Lepisosteus oculatus: one gene and its partners. The protein of the gene in region 1 purifies or fractionates together with the protein of each later gene. This does not show direct contact. Links are inferred from orthologs where the notes say so. Each region holds a gene or a part of one and is shown on either strand. Other genes may lie near its edges.

Region 1 (7,715 bases):
CCCATGTCTTCAGGACGCATTAAATCACCGCAGTGAGGCTGCCCTCTAGCCAAGCCTTAAAGTCTTAGAGATGATGACTTGATTACAGATCCCATGATGAGAAACAGAAAATACTACCGAGTCAAAGTACAGCACGGCTGTAAGGCAGACCTTTACCCCAGAACTGGCTACGCCTTAACATGAAGCTTTCTGCAAACTAAGCAATTAAGGGATTAAACCAAAGGGGAGCCTTACATATTCCAAGTCTCACTATAGCGCAGGAGCCCACCACGTGCTGTCAACTAAACAGGAATTCCAGCTGAAACACCAACTCGGTTACAACCGCTGCCTCAAAGATGCGCTGGGGCGCTCCGCGGAGGGTTTCAGCACACCGCCGCGCTACACGGGGAGCAGCCACTGCAAGAGCACAGAGCACCCCGGGACTCTCTCGGGGAGCCTGGCTGGAGCACCCCAACAAAGCACAGCAGTGTGCACCTGTCCCTTACTGGGCTCCGCAGCCCTGCTCACACCCAGGGTCAGCCCAGCACGAGCGGAGCTGACTCCACGCTGAAGGGCAGGAAGACTGAGGGAGGCTCACGGCGTCTCGCCCTCCTCGGAGCCTCGAGTCTCATGGAGACGTTCACCGGGAGCGAGCGCCAGCGGCCGGCCAGGAGCAGGGGGCGGCTTGGTCTCGTTTCCACTGCGGATAACAAGGAGCTGTCCCGGGAATCCCAGTGGAGGGGAAATGAGGACGGACCCCCGACTGCTCCCAGTTAAACACATGGCCACTCCCATAAAGCTGACATTGCAAGCAACAGCTGGGACACGTACACAAAGCACAATCACTCATCGCATGCCAAATATAGATATTTTTTCCCCATTTTCAAAGACATTTTAAACTCCTGCGAGCACCTTCTAGGCTCCCTTATCGATCCTGCTTCACCGGCCCCTCAGACAAAGCAGCGCGCACAAGCTTTCCCACCCAGCGCTCGGTGAGCAAAGACTGACGACAGAAACCGCTACCCTCACCCCTTATCAGGCTCCGCAACACGCAAAGCTGCTCATAGGATTATAGCTACGATGCCGGGGGGGGCAAAGTCCCAACCACGAATCACACAACTTGCGAACTGAAATGAGACTGGTTTACAGACAGAAAAGCTCCAGGAGCCCCGCAACCCCGCGCTGGTCGCTGCCCGAGGACTCTGGGGGACCCCTGCGTCTGCTGATTCTCGTTCCAACGGGCCGTTCATTACTAGGGCTAACCGCTACCAGTCATTGATCGTCTAAGTCAACTTTTTTTCTGCATCCAGACCTCGATTTCACCAGGAGCGAGCAGCTGGAAGACAGGCTGTTCTGGGGCAGGGCCTGTGCCTGTCGATGCCCTGCGCTCCTATTCACAGGCTCGTGCGTTTCAAGTTCCTGTTTGAGGCCTCTTTGCCAAATTTGTCTTCAGCTCTTAAAAAGCTGTAATTGTCCTGAACGCTGATGGAATTTGGGTTTCAGGACTGTGTGAGCTGAACCAGGACCAAGTGGACTTAAACAGAAGGAAAAACACTGACTGACTGGAGGGGGGGGTGTCCGTCTATCATCAAGTGATGAACTATTAATAGTTTAGTCAGAAATAAATGAGCAATGTATAAGTTAGCACATCGGGATCGGACTGCCCGAAGGCCCGGGTGCTGAGGTTGCGCTTGTGTAGCTGGTGACGTCCGGAACAGAAAACTAATCCAGCAAGCGCAACAGTTTAGCACTGGTGATGAAAGGCCCAGCTGGGTCAAAAACCAGCAGAGCACCGAGGCACTCCAGTACTAGGACCGGGACCCACAGCAGAGCAGAGCGGTCACCGTCCCTCACAGCGAGGCCGGCCAGCCCCGCCGCCTCACCTTGCCCTCGCTCGGCAGCGACTTCACCGGAGCCCCGAAACCACACTGCTCCACCTGCGCTACTGCTAGCGCTACACTAACGCTGAGCGTGCTCGGGTGATTGATTTTAAATCGTTCATATTGATTATTTCAGCAAGACCGCACACAGACAAACTTTGCTCTCGCTCAGAACGACCTGTTATAAATCATAACTACCGGCGTTCAGTCGTCGCTGCTGTGAGAACGGTAACAACTGTACCGCCCCCAGCAGAGTCCGCTTCGGTACTTTGACTCCGCTCGATCGCTGCTCCTTGGCAGTAAGGATCTCTTACAACACACGCTCCAGCGATCGCCAGCAGGGCTACAGCCCGACTCCTGAACACACTTGGCAAAGGCAGTAGGCGCTAGACCGCTCTCTTTCTCACGTCCGTTCAGACCGGTACCTGTACCGGTGCCGGCTGCATGGCTGCGCAGGTGTTTCACGCTGGCCGGTGTCCCGCCTGCTCCAGCCTTTTTTTTTTTTAAATAAAAGTTCCCCAAACAGCGGGAAACATCCATCAGGTCCCAGTGCTGAGCTCACACAGCGCCTGGACCCCGACTCCTGATCCGCTCCAGACTTGTCAAAAAGTGGGCGTCACCCGTTTCAGCCGCCTGCCTAGACACTATTGACACACCGCAGGAGACAGAGACATAGCCAAGAGACAGCAACTATCCGTACAGCAGGCGGTTGGAGCATAAGTTCCGTTTGTTTCTGACTGGCATCACCTATGCCCATAAAACACCCATCAGGCTTCATCCACGACAGGCACCGCACTCGGGTTTGTGGCGGAGGATCATGACAGACATGACCGACCTGTTTTGGACCTCATAAATAACCACGATAAACGTACCCCCCCTCCCCTGCCCGGTACCCAGGTCTAACTGTAACTGTGGCCCCCGGCTCACACCGACGGGGGCGGCCGGAGGACGGCTCGGTCCGGCTGCAGGTGGGCCGCGTTTCTAGAGAGAGTGGCGGAGGGTAAGACTCACGGACAGCACGCTGATACGGAGAGGGGCCTCCAGCAGGCACGCCATATCTCTTCCCCCTGACGAGCGCCCCAACCGGAGCAGCACTTTCCACACGCTGGGCCTCCCGGAAAAAAAAGCGCTTCCAGTTCAGGGCGAGGGTAGGGGGGAGTACGCAGGGGGCAGAAAGGGGGTTAACTACCCGTCGAGACCATGTCTCGGGTCCCCGTTTTTTTTTTAAATCGAAAACCCTCCCTGCTCGTTGCGATTATCGAAAGTTAAATTGTAGATTAAGGAGGAATTAGTTTGTGTTTTTTTTTCCAGAGAAGCGCAGTTGAATTTGCGTTTCGCTTTGTCGGATTCCACACTGCGGAGTCTCGAACTAGTTAATCAGCGAGAAATCCCAATCAAGGTCAGAGAGATGAGAACAGGTATTTATTTCGAAGAAAAATACAGATTTACTAATTGATTAATTTTACGTTTTTTAATTCTTACAAGCGTTGTCAATACCATTTTGTTTCTTTGACATAAATGGTTATTGTGTTCTCAGGTCATTTAGAAACCAAGAGTATAATGCATGTGCCCTTAATCACAATAATGCCTCCTTATTAGTAGTATAGTAGCAGCGTTTTGAATCAGGACCAGATTGGCTCAGCTATTGATATTAATGTAATCTGTCAGAGCGGTCACGACATAGCAGACCTACCGGACGATTACTCTACCCTTTCAAACTAAGGAACAGTCTACGGTACAGTCCCTCCGGGAGGCAGCAGTGTGGAAAGTGCAACCTTCGGATACGGTGGATATATTTACTCCACCAGCGGGCCGCTCTCAGGGCGCATGTGCGAATGTTTTGAGTGCGTAGCGGCTGGGAGCTTCGGGTCTGAGGTGCTATTATTTTGTGTGGCGGGGGATTCCTGACCGGCTGGACGTATCTGAAGTCCGGTTTGGCGGCTGCCTCAGCGCTGATCCTACACCAGGTGGGTGCGGGTTGTGTGAGGGCGCCCTGAGAGGGGCCCAGGTGCGCACCGCCGGCAGCTTCAGTGCAGTGTGTTAACAGTGTCGGTAGATCGCAGCGTTAAGAGGAATCGGCTATATCAGCCCTCGTGTGAATTGAATGTTATGACGTTTGACCACATCTTCTGTTTACCAGCGATTGCCGATTGAGTCAACTTGACGGGGCTTCGGTTTAGCACGCTTTTCGCCCCGGAATCGTGAAGGCGTGTGCGACAGAGTGACAGCGGCTCTCCGGCCGGGAGAAGCGCGCTGTTTGAAGGGGTACCGTGTCGAGCAGCGAACACGTCATGTGGGCTAGGAGCTGGTTCCTCTGAAGGGTGAAGTGCTGTTTGCACACAGGCCACGAGGATGCACCCAAAAAGGGGGAAAAAAAGGCTATGTCGAATGTAGACAACTTATTTGGGAGTTGGGGACGGCATATCTATACAGTATATACGAGACTTCACGTACTGGATACCGTAGGTGGCGAATGCCAGCTCCAGTGTTTCTATCAGCGTGATGCAGAAATTAAATCTCAGAGGAACTCGACTCTTGACGTGGAAAAGTGATTTTTTTTTCTCTTTCTGGTTTTCTTGTGAAGACGAGGTTTAGAGCAGGCCGGCGGCCTCCCCCTGTCGTCCCTCCCCTGCGCTCCCGCAGCGCCGAGGGCGGCCCTGTGTCCTCGCCGTGCCCGGGAAGACCGCTCGCTGGCCGCGGGGGTGCTTTCCGATGCGGGGCTGACGGCGCCGGGGAGAGAGAGAGAGTGAGCTTGCCTGTGTCGGGGAGCGCGACGCGGCCCCGGCCCGCGCGATGAAGATCGCCGTGGAAGGCTGTTGCCATGGAGAGCTGGATAAGATCTACGAGACCATCGGCTACCTGGAGCGCCGTGAGGGGGTGACGGTGGACCTGCTGCTCTGCTGCGGGGACTTCCAGGCCGTGCGCAATCAGGGGGACCTGAAGTGCATGGCTGTGCCCCCCAAGTACAGGAACATGGAGGGCTTCTACAGGTCAGCCCCCCTCATGCATGCTTGCCAACGTGCTGTAGTGTGTGTGTGTGTGTGTGTGTGTCTAGACCCAGGCAGCAAGGCAAGACAGATGCTGCATTCATCTTGCACTCCCTGGAACATGAAACTGAGCTCCTGACTCTCTGTGGTCATTAAAAATCCCAGGGTGTTGCTCGAAAAGAGTAGGGGAGTAACCCCGGTGTCCTGGCCAAATTTCCCCCTGGTCTTTACCCATCATGGCCTCCTCATAATCCCCGTCTCTGAGCTGGCTTCATCACTCTGCTCTCCTCCCCACTGAGAGCTGGTGTGTGAGGAGAGTACTGGCGCATCATCCAGGTGGGGCTGCACACTGGTGGGGGTGGAGGGGATCCCCATTACCTGTGAAGCACTTTGAGTGCAGTGTCCAGAAAAGCGCTATAGAAGTGTAGGGATATTAATAAGGAGATCATTCTGTAGGATACCGAGTGGAAGGCAGGGATGGATCCAGAAGGCGATGAGATTTGTAACGGGACTCTTTCTCCTTGCTGCGCCTCTCTCCCTGTCTCTCAGGTATTACTCCGGAGAGAAGAAAGCCCCCATCCTCACCATCTTCATCGGGGGGAACCACGAGGCCTCCAATCACCTGCAGGAGCTGCCGTACGGGGGCTGGGTGGCCCCCAACATCTATTATCTAGGCAAGTCTGGGCTGTGTTTCGTGGCACACTGCACATGGGCTGCCACACCCCCCCTGCACTGCACTGTGTTAATACCACTGGGGCGTCTGCACTGTTAAACCGCTGTGGCTGAAGGATCTGCATCTACCAGTGTTATTACGCATTTATCACTGTGGGGTTTGGACTGTGGTCTGTTAAAGCACCTGTACTGTGCTGACCGGCTTGCACTGTATCTTCCAGGGCTGTTACACACAGCTTCAGTGTTACTGTGCGACTGTGTCTCTTTGTCTCTTGCACTCTGAATTTGTCACGGGGGTCCTGATCTGCGTGTCGTGAAAGCCCAGATTGGGTGTGGAAGCCCAGGTGCCTGATGGTGCGTGGTGGCTGATCGACTCCCCTCTATCCACAGGCTACGCAGGAGTGGTCCAGTACAGAGGGCTTCGGATCGGGGGGCTGTCGGGAATCTTCAAGTCGCACGACTACCGGAAAGGTGAGCCCTCCCCACCTGCTACCGGGGGCTTTCCCAGTAGAGCCCATCTCACGGAAGGAAATGGAGTTGATTCGGTCCTTCATCCGGGAAGTTTCAATCTGACACCCCACCCCATGTGCTGTCTGAGCTGTGCCAGGGTTCTGGGTTGTGTCACAAATCGGAGAGGGCTATTCGACTCCTCCGGCTCGTTTTGGTCATTAGTAGCTTATTGATCTGAAGCTCTCCTCCAGATGTTTCTCGAAAGAAGCCAGACTTCTGGGCTTTAACAACTCCGTGCCTCTTTGTGTTGCAGGTCACTACGAGTTCCCACCATACAACCAGCAGACTCTGCGCAGCGCCTACCACGTCCGAAATATCGAAGTCTTCAAGCTCAAACAGGTGCCTGGGCTGGGGCAGCCTTTCTGAGCCGAGCTCAGCCGAGCCGAGCCCCAGCAGGCTGGAGGGGGGTGAACTGTGGGGAGCTGATTGCTGCTCCTGCTTTGTTAGCTGCATGGCTGGGCCAGCACGTGCTGGAAAAGGCACCAGACATCAGACGGGGGTGGGTGGGAGGGAGGGGGGCTTCACTCTTTTAAACTCATGCACCCCCATCGGGTGACCTGCCTCACCCCATTACACCCCCCTGTAGCGTCTCCCTCAGCCTTTCTGCCGGCTCGCGAACAGGGGTGCGAACAAACCTCCGGCCTCTCCCACCAGCAGGAGGGCGTGCTTACCCTCTGCGCTCTCTTTCCCGTGAACTCTGCTGCAGATCCGGGGGCCCATCGACATCTTCCTGTCCCACGACTGGCCGCGCGGCATCTACCACTACGGCAGCACCGAGCAGCTGCTGCGCAAGAAGAAGTTCCTGCGGTCGGAGGTGAAGTCGAACTCGCTGGGGAGCCCCGCGGCGGCCGAGCTCCTGGCCCAGCTGCAGCCCAGCTACTGGTTCTCTGCGCACCTGCACGTCAAGTTCGCCGCTCTGATGCAGCACCAGGTCAGGGCACGCCAGGGCGGGGGGGGCGGGGGGTGACTCCCTTCATGCAGGGTCACGGGCGCCGTGGCTCTGTCCTGCTCCGGGCGTCGATCCAGGCGACCCCTCTCGGACCATCTTGCACAGGAAACTAAGGCGCTACAGTCTTTGTAGTCGCCTGCATAGGAGATTCACGGAGCAGAGGAACGTCAAGCAAGCATGGTACAATCCTGGAAGAGGTTGACAGAGTCTGCCCAAATACATGGCAACACAGCACAGGGGCACCAGTGGAAGTTATGGGGAGGTGTATTTCAGTACGTCTATATTTGCGTTTGGGAACAGGGAGCACACTTCTTTACGCAGAGCGGGGTGGGAGTGGGCAACAAGCTGCCCTAACTAGGCCCTTGAAGCCAAATCCCTGAGGACATGTAGGACTCGGCTGGAAGGGGTGCTGGGTTTCAGTGAGTTACTGGCAGCCAAGCCGGTGTGAGCGAGGCTTCGGGGAGCAGAGGGGCTACAGGTTTGCACCTGGAGCAGGGCATCGCCCTCGGCTCTGGCTGGGCAGTGTGTGCGTGCGTGCGTGCCTGCGTGCCTGCGTGCGTGCGTGTGTTCTCCGCCTGCCCCAAGCTGTACTGGAGAAGATGTGCATCACTCTCAGCGTGGGGACAAGCTCTGGGAAAACGTCCCCAGAAGGGTGGTCGCTCCTGACAGACGGGCAGCGGGGGGACGGTCTCGCGGCCTCAGTAATCCCCATACTGGGGCTGCGCGGTGGCTCGTCGT
Region 2 (7,881 bases), on another chromosome or scaffold:
TTTGGAGCAAGCTGCCCCGGTGCTCTGGGGAACTGAAAGAAGCAGAGATGATGCGGGCTCCTGAACTAAGTACCTTCTTGCTCAGGGCTCTTGTGCTCTTCTTGCAGGTACCTCATGTTGCTGATGTCGTTCACCAGGAGCTTGCGGGCATCACTCTCCTCCCGATACAGCAGGTACTGAGCTGCCAGGTCCTCCTGCAGCCGGGACACCTGTACAGAAAGGGAGTGAAGCTGACTCGGAAGTGTAAGCAGGGTCGGGCATTTATCATGCCTTCAAGAAACTGACACCCAGAAGTACGTTTACAAAACTTAAGGCAGCAAAAGAAGCTTATTGCTTCTTCCACAAATTGCTAAATTGTTTAAAAGTGTTATATTCAGAAATATTGCTTGTGAAATGCGTTACAATATTGTATATTAAATAATACAGAAAAGCAGAAAGCTGGGGTAAATCATATAGGTTTGGGTGAATGAAAAAGTGCAGCTAACCTTACATTAGCTGACTAATCTAACCCATATCAATTTGGGCACTGTAATCCAAAAGGCGAGCCATATCTGCAGCTTTAGGCTGTTTTCAGATAAAACTCATCAGTAAAGCTGTTCATGATCAAGCCCTTGTGCAGTAGGCTCATTCTCTCTTCTGTGTCCACATTGAAAAGCAATCCATAAATTTGTGATGCCTCCTTAAAAGCGGGCCTTGTTTGTGTAATCTCTAATGTGAGTCCCTCTAAATAAATGGCTGAAGCACCTCCACAGGATTCCTAGCGTTAATATTATAAATACATAAGCCAGTCCTGAAATCCAAAGGCACAGACTGACTGCCTTAGGGCTGGAACACACAAACACACTTGCGCACAGCAAGAGCAAAACCAGAAAACATTTAGAGTAGATACTACTTTGGTATGTCTAAAATGAACATTTTAGATCTTCTGTGTCACTTGCACAGCCTATCATACTAATTTTGATTTTTAAAAGTCTGATAGACATTTGATGCAAACAATGTTTAAACATGCAAAACTGAAATCTGAAAAGGTGATTCCATTACCTGATGTCTGGGTATGAGGCTGCTGGAAAATACAATTAAATCATTTTTTTACTTCATATATTTTATATTACTTACATAAACAGAGATGATAAATATATAGTTTTTTATTTATTCCACATAATATGTGTACCACAATATCTCCCTATCTCTGCACACCCAGAGCCTTTTTTTTACCTGTGCTTGTAGTGCGTTCTTGCTCTCATTCATATTGTCGATGATCATCAGCAAATGTCTCTTCTCCTGTTTGAGGGCCTTGACCTCCGCTCTCTCCTCCTCACGCAGGGCTAGGACCCGCTGGTCACACTGCTCTGACACCACCACCAGCATCCCCTTCAGGGGCTCCAGGGTACGGATCTGCTCTCTCAGATGGGCTGGGGTTAGCACACAGCAAGATCACTCTATCTCTTCCCCAGTCATTTGTATTTCATTATTTGCTTCTCATGTTTTTTGTTGAAAAAAAAAAACATGCATAAGTAGAAACGAAGTGTTCCACTAGTACGTTCTGGAAATTGGCCATTACTTCATGGATCTTTTCTGTTGTTTCATACAGGTGTAGCGCCATTCTAAACTGGACTCCCACCAGTGCGTCTGTCTACTTTCCTGATTGTGTGATCTTTCATGCTGGAGTCTTCCTGGGCATGCAAAGAAATACAAGGCCATGCTTTCAGGAAACAGATTTGGTAAACAAAGAGGATCTGAAGTTCATATTTGAAATTAACACCAGAAAAAAAAGACAAAAAATGTGATTGCACCACCACAACTAAATGCACTGCAAAAGTTCATGTAGCTGTAACAATAAAAAGGGCATTATTTATTATATCAATAACTGTTACTATATGTGCTGAAATACTGCAGCTGTTACATACCTAATGCAATCTCATATTCATTCTTGATGGCAGAAAGCAGTGGCTTGTAAGTTTTTAAATCTTCGATGAAATACTGAAACACTTCCTGGTATGCCTGTATAGTAAACAGAAACAGAACTCAACGGTAGATTCTCCTGAGCCCTGCAGGGGTGCTGCTCAGGGGGCAGGGGGCATAGTGTGAGGGCTGCTGTTGCAAGGAGCCGAGAGTCCGGGAGAGGATTTAGGGATCAGAGTTCAAGGAAAGGTGCAGATGATGTTATTTACTCAGGGGCCCCCGCGGACACTGCCAGGGCTATATAACGTGGACAATGGGAGAGCGTTCCTGTGGGTGCCGACCTGCAGCCTGCGCTCCGGTGCGTCGAGCTGGCTGGAGTCCAGCGCCTGCAGCTCCCTCCGCAAGTAGCTCTCCAGCTGTTCCAGGAAACGTGGCTTGGAGACCAAACCCGAGAGCTCCTCGCCACATCTGCACACAGGCAGGACAGACAGAAAACAACAGAATTCTCGAGGCGATTCCCAGACCACTCCATTGGCATTTACATCTGGAATTCTGCCCAGACTTTACTGAATCCCACGGACATCCGTCCATCTGTGGGAGACGATGGAAATGCAGGGGCCATAGGGAAGTCTGAGATCTTTGGACACATTTATTACTGTTGAATCCAGTGTCCTTAAGAAAATCAGCCACTTCTGGTGAATTGTACACTCTGTACAACACTATTATTAAAAACAGTTTCATTATACAGAAAAATCAGACCAAAAACCCAGAACAGTCTCACGCCCCCTTGATTGAGAGAGACTCTTAGATGAAACTGGGAAGCTGGGAGAGTCTGGAGGAAATAAAATCTGCTCACCCACGAATTCTGTTCTCACTGCCGGGTGGCTGTCTGTGTCCTTGGTGGACTATCTGTGAGGACACGTGGGCAGGCCATGTGGAGAGGAAGCCAGTGGCTGGAGAATGCTGGAGAATTAGAGAACAGGATCATTTATTACACAACTTGACAGCACACAAAAAAATCAAGGACATACAGTATACGTAAACTTACTAATCAATACTCCATTTCTAGTAATGTTAATTACTTTGTATGATACTGTTTTGGATGTTGTTTACCATTCCAATGGTATTGTTAACACTTATTCAGCAATTGTAACAATTTTGTTAATTATTTTCAAAAAAACGTACTTAATAGAGTTTAAATAAATGAACTGTAAGAATATGCATTGCATTCGTCACATTCATTTTTTTCATTTCAGATTCAGAAATACATAAGTGCAACATACCAAAGCATATAGTCTATAAAATTGCATAATTAAGATTCCAATCACTTCAATTTTGCCCTTTTTCATCTGGCCTTAGAAATAGCAGCAGCAAGAGTAGTGGTACAGGAGCAGTAGTACATTAGCAACAGCAGCAGTGAGACTAGTGATTTACTAGTAGAGTAGCAGTAATGTAGTAGCTGTAGATGTAGTACAAGTAGCTGTAGAATAGTAACCGCAGTAGTAAGAGCAGTAGTACTGGTTGTACAGTAGTATTAGTAGTAAAAACAGCAAGAGAGTGGCTACAAAAGCAGTAAGTGTTGTAGTATCAGTACTACTAGTGTTACTCACGTGTGCTGTCTTCAGGGTGAAAAGGCTTCCGATCTCATCGCTTTGCTGTCGGCTCTTCCTGACAGGCTTCTCGCTCCCTCCAGGACAGTTTACAGGCAATCTATAAAACAACGAGGTCGTGATCTCCCAAGACTAGCCTTTAAATAGCAGGCTTTCTATTGGTGGTGTATTTACTCTGTCGCTGTCCCCATACATGCCGTCATTTTCTCAAGTCAGGAAAGACAGAACTCAGTTATCTGAAATGTATCTTATTGTTCATATTCAGTAAAATCATTGTGCGCTTTACTGAGATAGAGATGTACTTGTAAAGAAAAATAGAAACCACGCAATACGTTACTTGTTAGCCATTGCGGTCTGCTGCATACTGCAGGTTCATTTGGAAAATATATATATATATTAGAAACTGTATTTAACTGTAACTGTATTTTTCAAAACTGACCCTTGTCTTTCTGACACAGGCAAAGGAGGCAACTTGCAGTCTTTCTGCACCGACATGCCGAACATGAGATTAATCCCTGTATCGCCGGCTGGGATAGTCCTGACCCACTGGCGCTCTCTGTGTACACTGCGTTGCCTTGGAGACGAAGGACCCCTCCCGGCAGGACCTTAAAGGGATGTCCTCAGCAAAGCAAATAAACAAATATGTGTTTCCTAATTTTTCCTGCTATAGATCCAAAAGTTTGGACATTAAAACACAGTTATTATTATTTAAAAGCTGTTTATCTCCGTACAGTCGTGGTTTTAGATTTAAATACCGTTATGTCCCTAGTACAAGATTTGGTTTACGTAATTTAAAGGGAAATTAAAGAATGTGGTCGTTTTTGAATATATATTTTTGGAAGTTGCAAACAGTTTAAAAAAATCAAAGCACCACACGTCTTTAGAAACATTTGTAAAACGTAAAGCCCTCCGTCTGCACTGAATTAATACATAGCAGTAACGAGCATTTTTTTCACTTTTATCGGGTCAAATATTCTAGTTACGTGTAAAAAACATCCCAATCTGTTGCTTGAAAAATGTTCAAAACACTCCAGCTCATGTGGCGTTGATCCTGGTATATGTAGTTCTTTATTAAGGAACGCAATCACTCGATAAAGAAATGCCAGCCTTTAAAAAACTACATTTCCCGAGAACCCTATGAGCTGCTACAGGGGCTTGTGGGGTTTGTAGGAAAATCTGAAGAACGATCTCGTTCAACCAGTTTGGAATCCGCAAGTCTGTAGAACTACAGTTTTTCCTCCTCCTCACGCGTGAAGTCCACGGGTGCACTCCCGCAGGTATTTGTGGGAGTTGTAGTCATTATCGAACTTTGTGCTCGTCGATACCCGTCGTACAAGACGATCTCCCGAACTACAACTCCCTAGCACACCGCCGATAGCCCGATTCTAGAGCGTTGGTTATCCGGGGATATCGCACCGCTGTCTCTAGTCTATTTCACTCTCTCCCTCTTCCTCCGGATTGACACAATACAGTAGAAAAAAAGCAAAACAAAACATTAAAAGCCAAAAAAATGGCGGAGCTCGGAGCGGGGAGCTTGCAAGGGGGGGACCCTGCTTTCAGCTACCAGGAGCGAGAGCTCAACGAGCGACTGAAGCAGCTTTACCCGGCCGTGAATGAGGAAGAGACTCCTTTACCTCGATCTTGGAGCTCCAAGGATAAATACAGCTACATCGGGCTCTCACAGAACAATCTCCGGGTGCATTACAAAGGTAGAGACATGCCGAAATGCTAGCACTGGCCTTCTTAATCCGGGCCAGCACTCTCCCGAAGGCTCGCTGAGCCGTTGTCTACTGTATGCGATTATGCGGACGCAGTCTCCCTGGTCTGTTTTGATCTGTTTTCTGTGCCCTCTCCGTTTTGTCTCACAAAAAGAAATCCCCGAAGCGCTGACAGTTAATGATGACAGTGTCTGGGGTTCCTCGGGTTAGAAGACCCTCGCCCTGGCCGAGCTGCCCCCGATTTCGTTTTTGCTCATAACGACCAGATAAGATGCTGGGCAGCGACTCGTCTCAGCCTTGCAGCTGAACTGTGTCGGGTGCCGTTTTTATTTTATTCTTCGTGGTGCTAATGTCCTACGCTTCTGCCCACCCCTCCCACTTTTTGTTACAAATCCCCGAATTTTAATAAGGTCCAAGAAGCAAGGGGGGTGACCCGAGAAATCCCCCCCCCCTCAATCTTTCCCTGCCCTCTTAGAAAATAATTGCATTAAACGGAAAAGAATGACATCACTTGCCGTGACTGTCAGCAGTTTGCGATACTGATTATGAGCCAGTTTTAGGAAATATGGACGCAGGGTAGGTGTCAGTTACCCAGGGCAGGTAGCTGTATTCTGCTCCACTGGCACAGTGATATAGATGCCAACTCTGGCCACTTAAATGGACGAGGCACCTACCAAAGACGACACAGGAATCCGCAATGATCTGGTATTCCTTTTTGCGAGATTATTGCGGATTCCGTGAGCCGTGTGGTGAGCGACGAGGACCGAAAAAGAGATCAGCTCGTTGTTGAATTCGGGCCTTGAATTACAATGAATTAACCCTTTCCGCCCCGAGAGCGGAAACAGGATGTGTTTATTGTGAAAGAAGGGCTCGGTCTCGTCCTCCTGGTTCTAGTGGGGTCCGGGCCGTGGTTGTGTCTCTGAACCACGGCTCCCCCAGGGTTTTGAAAAAGGAGTGGCAGACCTGTTGTGTGGAGTTTTTCTGTCAAAGGGCAGGTTTAGTAAAATGAATAAGCAAATGACACGCCACCAAAGATATGCTTCTTCAGAAATCTGGTTAGCAGTGAGGGCTTTACCAGACATAGCTATCGGTCCTATGTGTACCCCCAGAGTTCTCTGAATCACCCCCCTTTTTTTTGAGCAGTTGTGGATTTAGAATCACGGGGTTCTCTTCAGTGTGGATCCTGATGAGAGCAGCCGTGTGGGTACCATGCACAAGAATTATTAGGTTTCCATTCTAGTGAGGATTGATTTCAATGTATCGGACTGGGCTGGGGGAAATGGAGAGATCGTGGTCGACTGATTGAAATTGCTTTATTTGAAATTGATTGAAATCCAAAATGAAAACACTTTGCTCAAACAGAATGATGACTGATCCAACCACGGTTGCTTCTGGTAACGTTAGGTGCCCCCTGTTGCTATGGGTTATAATTTCACAAAGCTCCTGACATTGGAATGAAACTGACTCCTGCTGTCAATTAGATCTCGTGTCCCACATGGGCTGTGTTCTGTATTGCCTGTGGAATACCATCAGTTCCCTGCAAATTCGTCTGATGTGTTCTTTTAAAAGACCAAATTGTATTCAGCCAACAGAGCTTAGGCAATGTAGACTAAGGGTTTTTTTTTGTTTCAAGGACAGAGCAAAGTTTCTAGACGGCATGTTTTGTTTGGAAGGAGTGATTTGTAAGATCTGTAATGAGGGTCTTGGCCGAGACAGATCAGAGTCAGAGAGGTGTACGGTAAGTCAACACTGAACTCAGTGAAGGCCCTGGCTGTGAGCCGGGGGGCCTTTCTGAAATGAGCTTTTTTTTTTTTGCCTGAGTGGAAGAATCAGTGTTCACAGTGCAAAGGTCCAGTGAGAGAATGAGGATATTTTTCCTAATTATACAGAAACTGGGGGGGGGAAAGACACTTTAACTGGAATAATTGCAGTTAAACTTATTTATTTAGAATGGGGGAAGTCAGTTTTCCGAAACTTAGAGGTGTCATTTTAGCTCAACACCTTCAATGAAATATTTACCCCAATGTGGAACCTGCAGCTGTAGTCTGAACACTTGTACAATTGTATTAGACTGCGGGGTGAACAGGGGTGGAAATAGTAGTATGACACAGAATTACTCCATCAGCCGCAGCCCTGCGTTCAGATTAGGCAACCTATAAATAGCTCTGCTTTATATTTAAAAAAGAATCCAGAGAACATGCATGCACCATTTTGAAACCTGTGAACAGAGTGTGATCGCTGGCATCATGAAGTCATTGCTCACCCATCTGCAAGATGGTCGTCTCCCCTCTCGGTGCAGAGGGGCGCCGGGAGGTCGCAGGCCTGGGCCCCCGGAGGCCCCGCGGGCCTGGCAGGCAGGCCAGCCCCACGGCACTTGTCTCCTGCCGGGCCGCTGCTCCGAAGTGGCCGCGTGACATTGATATGCACATGAGCTCGTCTTAAAGGGACGGCTCCCCCTTCGTTCCCCTCCATTGTGAGGAGCTGTGGAAAAAGCGGCACTACCTGGCTTCGTGCCGCTTCAGAGGAGAGGAGTCACTCGCTGATGGTGGGTGCTCTTCCTCAAGTTGGCTTTTTTGCCATTAAGCAATGTGGGGGTACGACGTGGTCGCTGTTTTTATTTCCCTTCAAACTGCTAAGCTTTCTTGTGTTTT
Region 3 (7,649 bases), on another chromosome or scaffold:
GGCAGAGCAGGAACAGGGGCTACAGGCCGTCGTGTCTGCTTCGAGATAGAGATTGGAGCTGCTGTTGTTGTTGTTGTTGTTTTTGCAAGCGTGCATTTGACTCTTATTGCGCTTTGAAATGCACTCATCAGTGCCGATTCTTTCCAACCCCGACATATACAAATAGCGCCGTAGTTCCCCTTTGACAGTTAACAGATGAGTACTGCTCTGTAGCAGACTGTCAAGAGGTGCGCTATAGCAAAAATGATTGATTGATTGATTGATTGATTGATTCCCCATGAAAGTGCTCATCAACTGTCTTCAGAAATGGTTCAGTGGCGAGCCATAAGATCTGCCGGACTGGGGCTCTCCGGAGAGGAGCCATAAGATCTGCCGGACTGGGGCTCTCCGGAGAGGAGCCATAAGATCTGCCTTAAAGCGGCATCAAGTCTGTGCGGCGTCAGCGGTGTTTACAAACGTGCACCGGGGGCAACTTCTCTCTGGCTGGTGTGCAGGGGAGTCCTGTCGCGGTGCGTGTTGCTGGGCAGAACACCAGAGACAGGAGAGGAGGGGGTGTGTTGAGTGAACAACTTCACAGCGGGGCCAACGACGCGCCAGTAAAACAAACAAATAAATACATCCTGAAAACACAGGAACATCCAGCGCCTAGTTTGCGACGCTCCGGCCTGTGATCTCATTTGAAATGACCTACATTTGACGCTGGTTCGTGCCTTGCAATCTCCCACGAATGACACCCACTTGCTCGGGAAGGGCTCCCGCATGCCGGCACGGCAGCGACGCGTCTCCCGACGCGAAACAGCAAAACGCAAAACAAAACCTCCCCTTTTTAAAGCTCAAATCCTTACCGTTCTGCGCTTTCGGAAGGGAATATCTGTCTTTCAGAGGGGAAGGAGACAACAGCTGCTGCTGTTGACGACCAAGGAGACCGAGGAGGTTTGCGGATTATGGTTTTTTTTACAGACCGAGGAACACAAAGTACCACAACTCTGCCGCTCCGGTCCTCTCCAAGGAGTCGGCAACCACCACGATCGCAACGGATTCACGCCGCGGAGCCAAACCTACCGATGCCTCATCTCCACAACGACTCCTTTGTCTGGCCGCCGCTGTTCACCCAAGCGATGGGAGATCTGCAAGCCCAGTTCTGCGGGTACAGAAAGGGCGATCCGACACGATAGGCGGTGCGCAGGGACACAGCAGCGCCTCTCAGCTGGGATTTGAACCCACGACCGCCCGTACCGTGGGAGCCCGGTACCCGTCCAGCCCCAGTTTCTCAGCGGAGACCCCCGGCTAGCTTAACGGGAGGATACAGCGGTCTCCACAACAAACAGTTATTTGACAAGAGCCTGATCGCACATCCCACCGACCGAAATCGGGGGGGGGCACTTCACTGGGACCCCTACATCTCAGCCCGGGGTGGCCAAGCGCCAACTGCTCTAGAGGTTATCGATTATTTTGGGCGTCGCTGCATAACTGCTGTTGAGGGCTCGATCGGCGGTGAACGACACGACACGACCCGACTGCGCCGTCCGGTTGAGGATTAGCGAGATCCTAGCGCAGTGAAACAGCTGAACTGTGCTGGGGCGGGGGGGTTGAGAGAGAGAGAGATCATGCCTGCGTCTGCAAGCCGGGGTCTCAGCATTGCAATACGCGAGGACAACGGGTGGGGGTTCAAAGGACTGTAGCCGGAGGCCAGATCTCCCTGCCTCCATCAGAGCACCACCCTGTTTTAACAGGACACCGTCTTCAAGCCCCGGTCAGAAACCAGGAGCGGTTTCTGACACACCGGCAAGCCCGATGAGGAAGGGGGTTACAACAAGAACCACAGTTTCTATTGCTCTTGTGTGGGTAGCGTGTGGGGGGTACCCACTGGACCCCCCCACTCCCACTCCCACTCCCACTCCCACCCCGTTTCATTCCAGGTCGCGTTTCCGGCCCGAGGAAGACGAGCGGGACTCAAAAGACACAAGAAAAAAAGTCAACAACGCGTTTCAGACCCCCCTCTTCCTCTCTCTCTCTCTCGCACGTACACACACACACAAACACAAACACGCGTTTTGTTTTGTAATCCCGGGTCGACGGGAGACGAAAACAGACACACAAAAAAATAAACTACCGATAGGAGGAGGACCGACCCCTCAGCCCAGCTCACCGGGGCCTGACAGCGGCCGGATTGGCGCACCCAGGCACCCCCGACACCGGGGCAGGCACGAAAGCAGACAGGAAACCTGCTCACCTGCGGCCCAGAGCGCCGGACACCCCGACTTCCCCCGCCGGCTGCCCCTTTAACAGCACTTCCTGTGTAAACAGACTGCAGACCGGGCACTGGACGCTGCCATTTTTAGTCCCAAGCCAGCGGTCGTTTCACAGCCTCCACGTCTGGGCTCCGCGTCTCACCCGAGGAGTTAAGGTTTTTTCTTCTTCTTTCTTTTCGCTGCTACCGCTGTCCTGAGAAATACCCGTTTTTTTTAAAGATATTTTCTTTCTTTCTGACGCTTCACAACCTACAACAACACCGCCACCGCCGCCGCCTCCTCCTCCTCCTCTGTACGTCAGGCTGTGGTTCAAGACTCGGCGGCCGATACCAACTGCGAGGGACCAACCCCGCATCGGGACAAAAAAAAAAACAAAAGCGGGGAAAAAAAAAAACCCGTGATGGAAAAACCAGCTTATTTCAGTTATACACCAGTCGCAGTAATCTCGACGGTGTGCGACTTGTGTCGTTTGGTTAAGAGATCAAACAAAGCCATTTTACCAAGCAGAGAAGCTCCCCCCCGCCTCTCCAGCTGGGGGGAAAGTGGTTTTGGCCTCAGTTTGACAGAAGACAAGATGAAGGAAATCCGGCGGCGCGACGCTTTGCTAATACTGCACATAAATAAAACTGTGCGTTTTACCGGGCTCATAACCGGAACCAGAAGGAGCGATTTCACTTCGGAACCAAGTAGACTTGCTTTTTTAAAATAAGTATTTATTGGATAGATGCTTTGCTTGCAAATTGGGCATGTAGTTGTAGGCGGACATGCAGTCAATTGTTAATAAGCTGTAGCTTGTGCGATTCGTTATTCATTTTTAGTCTTTGACAAAAAAGGTAGCATCGACGACCGTGTATAGTACACTCTGTTATCGTTTTTTTTTTGTTCAGAGCTCCCTCCCATGGGTGAATGCTGAATTACAACCCTTTCGTACTGTCCGCGAGAAAATCCCTGAGTAATAACCGTGCAATTTGTAAAAAAACACTTTGAATAATTAAAAAAGCTTCTTTCATGTTGGACAGAAACACAGATTAAGAGCTACGGCGTCCCGTCCACCCTGACGTCTGTGAAAGCAGCCCCATGTATGATCTCATTTGATAAATGAATAAAAGGCATTTCCATAAATTACGATTGTCATACGTAAAGCTTTTGCAAGTTCAGTAAATATTAAAACATAAGGTTATTTCTCACCGGTCTGCTTTAGGATAATCTAAGTATAAAATTTCATCCGAGGACAGTGATGTGAAAAGGCTTCAACACACAAGGTAAGCAGGGTGAATAATGGCTTCACACCTTCAGGTTTCTGGGTCAATTTTGGTCTTGAGTGTCTTTGTGGAGTCTGCACGTTCCCCGAGTTCATGTAGGTATTTTGAATAAAACTCTTTCCTGCTCTGGAAGAAGTTCGAATCAGAGATTCTTGATGGGATGTCAAACAGAGATGGACAAGGAAAGTAATCTGGGTACATCCCATTGCCCGACTTTCTCTGTGGAAAACCGAAAGCAGTTCTGTTCATTTGTCCACTCTGTGCTTAAAGCCAACTCAAAGGATCACTTCAGATGCCACAGTGAAGCAGGGACCCTGAGCCACAAAGTGCAGAAAATAGCAGCTAATCTGGACTGAGAGTAGTAGCAGCCTCTTTCCCCAAAGAGACTTTGGCATTGTAACTAACCTTCAGATCACACAGCTGAAATGTGGCCTCTAATGCATGACATTATGAAGTGGACTAGAGGCCTCTAGCAAATAAACACCTTGATCAGCACTTATCCTTTCTTTTGGCTCTCCGTCATGTGAGGGCCTGCTAGTTCTTCATGGGCAAAGAAACGTGTACTCTATGCCCATATCATGCAAGTATAATAATAAACTTTATTTTATATAGCACCTTTAAAAGGGGATTCTCAAAGTGCTTTACAGTTAGAAAAAAGTAAAAAGCACACAATGAGAGGAGACAGCAGAGTGGCACAATGACAAAAAGGCTTTGGAATACAATAGCAAAGCAAAGAGGCAGAGAGAAGCAGTTGAATAAAAGCCCTCCTAAAGAAGAAGGTTTTGAGTCAGGATTTGAAAGTGGTCTGGGAAGGTGACTCTTTGATATCCTTATAGATTGAATTCCCGAGCTCTGGGGTGCAGCAGGAGAAGCCAGGTTGCCCGTAGTATGTAGATGGGCTTGGGGGTCAGAATTGGATGAATGAAGATCGTGATATGGGGAGTAGGATGCTAGTACTGAGGTATATATATTTACTGTCAACTATATACGGTTTAAATCCCGCTCCGTGGAAAAGTCTTGGACACCTTAGATTTGATTAAGGGTTACAATATATAAGCGTTATGTACACCAAAAGTTAACTCAATGACTCCACTATTGTTTTCTACTATTGTAACAGCTTTTAAGTAATTATAAGTTTTTTTAAATGTTTTATTTCGCATTGTTTGGAATAAAAAAAAAACCTGATCATAACAACTCAAGGTAAATTTCACATGGACTGCCAATGTCATTATTTTAGTCATCGCTCAGGCCCAGTGGACTTATTGTCAAATGTTCCTCATCATTTGCATAATTGTTTCATTCTACTCCTCCACAAAGCTGAAAGTTTTCTTTTTGTACAACAAAATGCAGACTGCTACAATGTCAAGATAAAAATTGCCATAGAGTTGTTTCTGAATATAGGAGGAAAAACGTCAAATGAAACAAGCAGAACAATGCAAGATGTCCAAGATTTTCCGAGAACAGTGTTTATTTTTACCTCACTATCCAAACAAATGATCCAAAAATAATGGGCTTATCCATTTCTAAAACCATCAAGTAGCATGCACATGCAAGCTGGAAGCAAGCGATCCAAGCTATTTTTACAGCTGAAACTCAAGTTAAATTATCAACAATAATGGAAATTTAGAGGTAGTGAGAAACAACAGAAACTCGTGTGACACAGATGTAATTACCAAAGTCTACCACAAGAGGGAGATGTAGTCTTGGTCTCTAAGACCCACTTCACCATCACCTGGGTGATGTGGGTCAGCCATTCAACACCAGCAGCCCCGCTGCTCAGCAGCAGAGCAGGGGGAGGAGTGAGAAACTGCTTCACCAGCTGGACAAAGACGGAACTACAATAACGCCGGACCACACGAGCCCAGAGTGGAATTTAGACAGGATGCTACCATTAACACCCTTACAATGGCATGCCATCTTCATTGACCAAGAAGTCAAGATATCATTTTAACTTCTGTTGGAAATGATGGCAACGCTTACGGCACAGTGCCCCCCGGTAAACATACTGGGGCGCTGTTTCGCAAAGTGTGGGTTAGAGGTCAGAGTGCCACCGATTAGTCCTCCAACACAATTTATAATAGCAACGGCCTAGTTTCCGTTGGAGGTCTCCAGAACTGATGAGCCTGCTTCTCTCTGCCCTGACTGACAGTGAGAGTCTAACCCAAGGACCGACGGAAGTCTTAGGAGAATCTGGCTTCACACAGATGATACCAGTGCCCTAACAACCCCATGCATTTAGATCATACATTCTCTTCCTGGAGTGGAGTGTCTTTAGGCTGGCCACTGGTAGCCTAACCGATACTTTAACCTCCAGATCCAGCTACTCTGTTACAGGAAGGGTCTGGCTGGATCACGGAGATGTCAGTTAAAAATACAGGCACGCAGCTGTCCCTAGGGATCTGCACGTCCCCACAGCCCTGTTTCAGCCAGAACAGGAGCAAGCAGCTGAAGAGCACTCCTGAGGATCAATCAGTGACAAGCCGCGATGCAGTAAGGGGACATCAGGGGAAAAGGGCACTGAGTTTAGACAGAAGGCAAGTCCTTTAAAAACGTTTTCTGTTTTTCTTCAGGCTGGCTTGGGAATGCGATTCAAGCTCCCACTCCAGGGAGAAATTCAAACACAGCACAACTCTGAAGTTTGGACGTGACACAAGGATGTCCAACAGCAAGCAGCTACTCTGTGATCTCAATCAAGTGTCAGGTCCTCATGTTTCCACAGCGCGTGACCTTCATTGCAGAAGACGGCAAACCTTTAACCTGTCTTGGTTCCGACAGTTCGTACCTCATATCTTGTGTAACAAAGAAAGATGAACCTGTTGGGGAGAGAGTCTGTGGTTTATGCTTCTTTTTGCCAGTGTAACGCTATCTGGGGTCAGCAGGGCTCTTGTTCACTCATTAACGTGTGACTTCTCCCTGTATAAACACATTCTTGCAGATACACTGTTTGCATTAAATAGACTGTATGCCAGCTAAATATGTACTGTATAGCAAAACTAGAGGCAGGCTATCTTAGGTTATCTGAGCCACTTTATTTTGACTGCAGAAAGAGGAACCTCCCTCCCTTCTCCTTTGTCATTTATTGCCCATGTTTCCGTGGAAACACCTGTTCCTTGGACAAACAGAGGCCTGCATGTGTGTTTTCTTTAAGCTCAACTCAGCTGACCTCCAACCCCCATGTTGGGGAAAAATGTGAAAACATGCAAAAAAAAATAGCGGGACTGCAACAAAGGAAGCTGAGATAGCGATGCTAGAACCACCCCCACACACACACACAAACACAGGCAGGGAGGAACTACCAGTATTTTTACAGTAAACGTACTTTTATGCACAGTTAACCCTTGAGAAAAACCAAAGCCCTTTAACCTGTTTTTTTCACATTGTGCACTGCAAAAAAAAACAAAAAAACGCAACAACCTTCCTTGCTAGTTCCTTCCTGTTTTCATGAAAAAATGTATATCCCATTTGTGGAACTGCACCAGAACGTCTATTTTTTGCTTGGACATTACGCTAATGATTATAACCCAATGACTTCACACAGGTGGGGCAGGGAAGCAGAACCTTATTTCAGGTCGGAAATGAAGTGACCTGCAGCTCCTCTTTCCTCTGTCCTGTCTGGGGGACAAGAGGGAGTTCAGGGTTTTAAGATGGCAGGGTTCGGGTGATCAGTAATTAAGGGTTATGTGCCGTGTCGGAGTCCGAACGTTTCTATCAGCCTTTAAGCAATACTAGGTATGAATGCTGATGGCCCACGTATGAAACAAGGCTATTCTGGCTTCCCAAGAGCAGTGAATAATATTGCCTTAACTGTACTTGTCACACATTTCTCCTCTACGCTTTGTCCTGCTCTGTCCTGGTGGAAGTCAAAGAGGACCAGTAGATTAGCCTGCTTTTAGATACCCTGCTCATCTATCTATAGTCTCCCACGGCATCAGCACCACTTCCAAGTCCTCAGGTCAATTCCATTTGGCCAGCTGATCACAGGCAGGTGCTCTGAGCTCTTCAGCAGTTGGGTAGAGCTTACAGGCACAAAACCAAAATGGCACCCTGCCCACCCTCCAATAGACCAGCAGCATATACCAAAATACAGTACTAACCCGTTCCTCTGGAGTCTCCCCCATCTCTCCCTCAGAAGGCT

What was found. Proteins that work in one complex are often made in the same cells at the same time.
Region 2: the proteins of armc8 (region 1) and ranbp10 purify together in Homo sapiens (affinity purification with mass spectrometry; 5 studies listed by BioGRID and IntAct, with this or other methods). This does not show direct contact. The link is inferred for Lepisosteus oculatus from reciprocal best matches to the Homo sapiens genes ARMC8 and RANBP10.
Region 3: the proteins of armc8 (region 1) and E3 ubiquitin-protein transferase RMND5B purify together in Homo sapiens (affinity purification with mass spectrometry; 4 studies listed by BioGRID and IntAct, with this or other methods). This does not show direct contact. The link is inferred for Lepisosteus oculatus from reciprocal best matches to the Homo sapiens genes ARMC8 and RMND5B.

The regions. Positions count from the first base shown.
Region 1 is NC_090707.1:7,393,393-7,401,107, reverse strand, and holds the start of armc8 (armadillo repeat-containing protein 8), read right to left. Parts: upstream 3,016-7,715; 5' UTR 2,916-3,015; coding exon 2,871-2,915; intron 2,808-2,870; exon of another isoform or gene 2,789-2,807; intron 2,321-2,788; exon of another isoform or gene 2,306-2,320; coding exon of another isoform or gene 2,291-2,305; intron 1-2,290. Other genes in the region: dbr1 (lariat debranching enzyme), read left to right, coding at 4,653-4,849, 5,396-5,520, 5,909-5,989, 6,282-6,367, 6,735-6,959. UniProt on the Homo sapiens protein: Component of the CTLH E3 ubiquitin-protein ligase complex that selectively accepts ubiquitin from UBE2H and mediates ubiquitination and subsequent proteasomal degradation of the transcription factor HBP1.
Region 2 is NC_090715.1:3,934,874-3,942,754, reverse strand, and holds the start of ranbp10 (ran-binding protein 10), read left to right. Parts: upstream 1-4,877; 5' UTR 4,878-5,022; coding exon 5,023-5,221; intron 5,222-7,493; coding exon of another isoform or gene 7,494-7,702; exon of another isoform or gene 7,703-7,717; intron 7,718-7,881. Other genes in the region: tsnaxip1 (translin-associated factor X-interacting protein 1), read right to left, coding at 74-209, 1,216-1,412, 1,908-2,001, 2,244-2,370, 2,759-2,865, 3,513-3,612, 7,494-7,702. UniProt on the Homo sapiens protein: May act as an adapter protein to couple membrane receptors to intracellular signaling pathways.
Region 3 is NC_090706.1:38,806,870-38,814,518, forward strand, and holds the start of E3 ubiquitin-protein transferase RMND5B, read right to left. Parts: upstream 3,005-7,649; 5' UTR 2,234-3,004; intron 2,137-2,233; exon of another isoform or gene 2,114-2,136; intron 2,076-2,113; exon of another isoform or gene 1,063-2,075; intron 39-1,062; 5' UTR 1-38. UniProt on the Homo sapiens protein: Core component of the CTLH E3 ubiquitin-protein ligase complex that selectively accepts ubiquitin from UBE2H and mediates ubiquitination and subsequent proteasomal degradation of the transcription factor HBP1.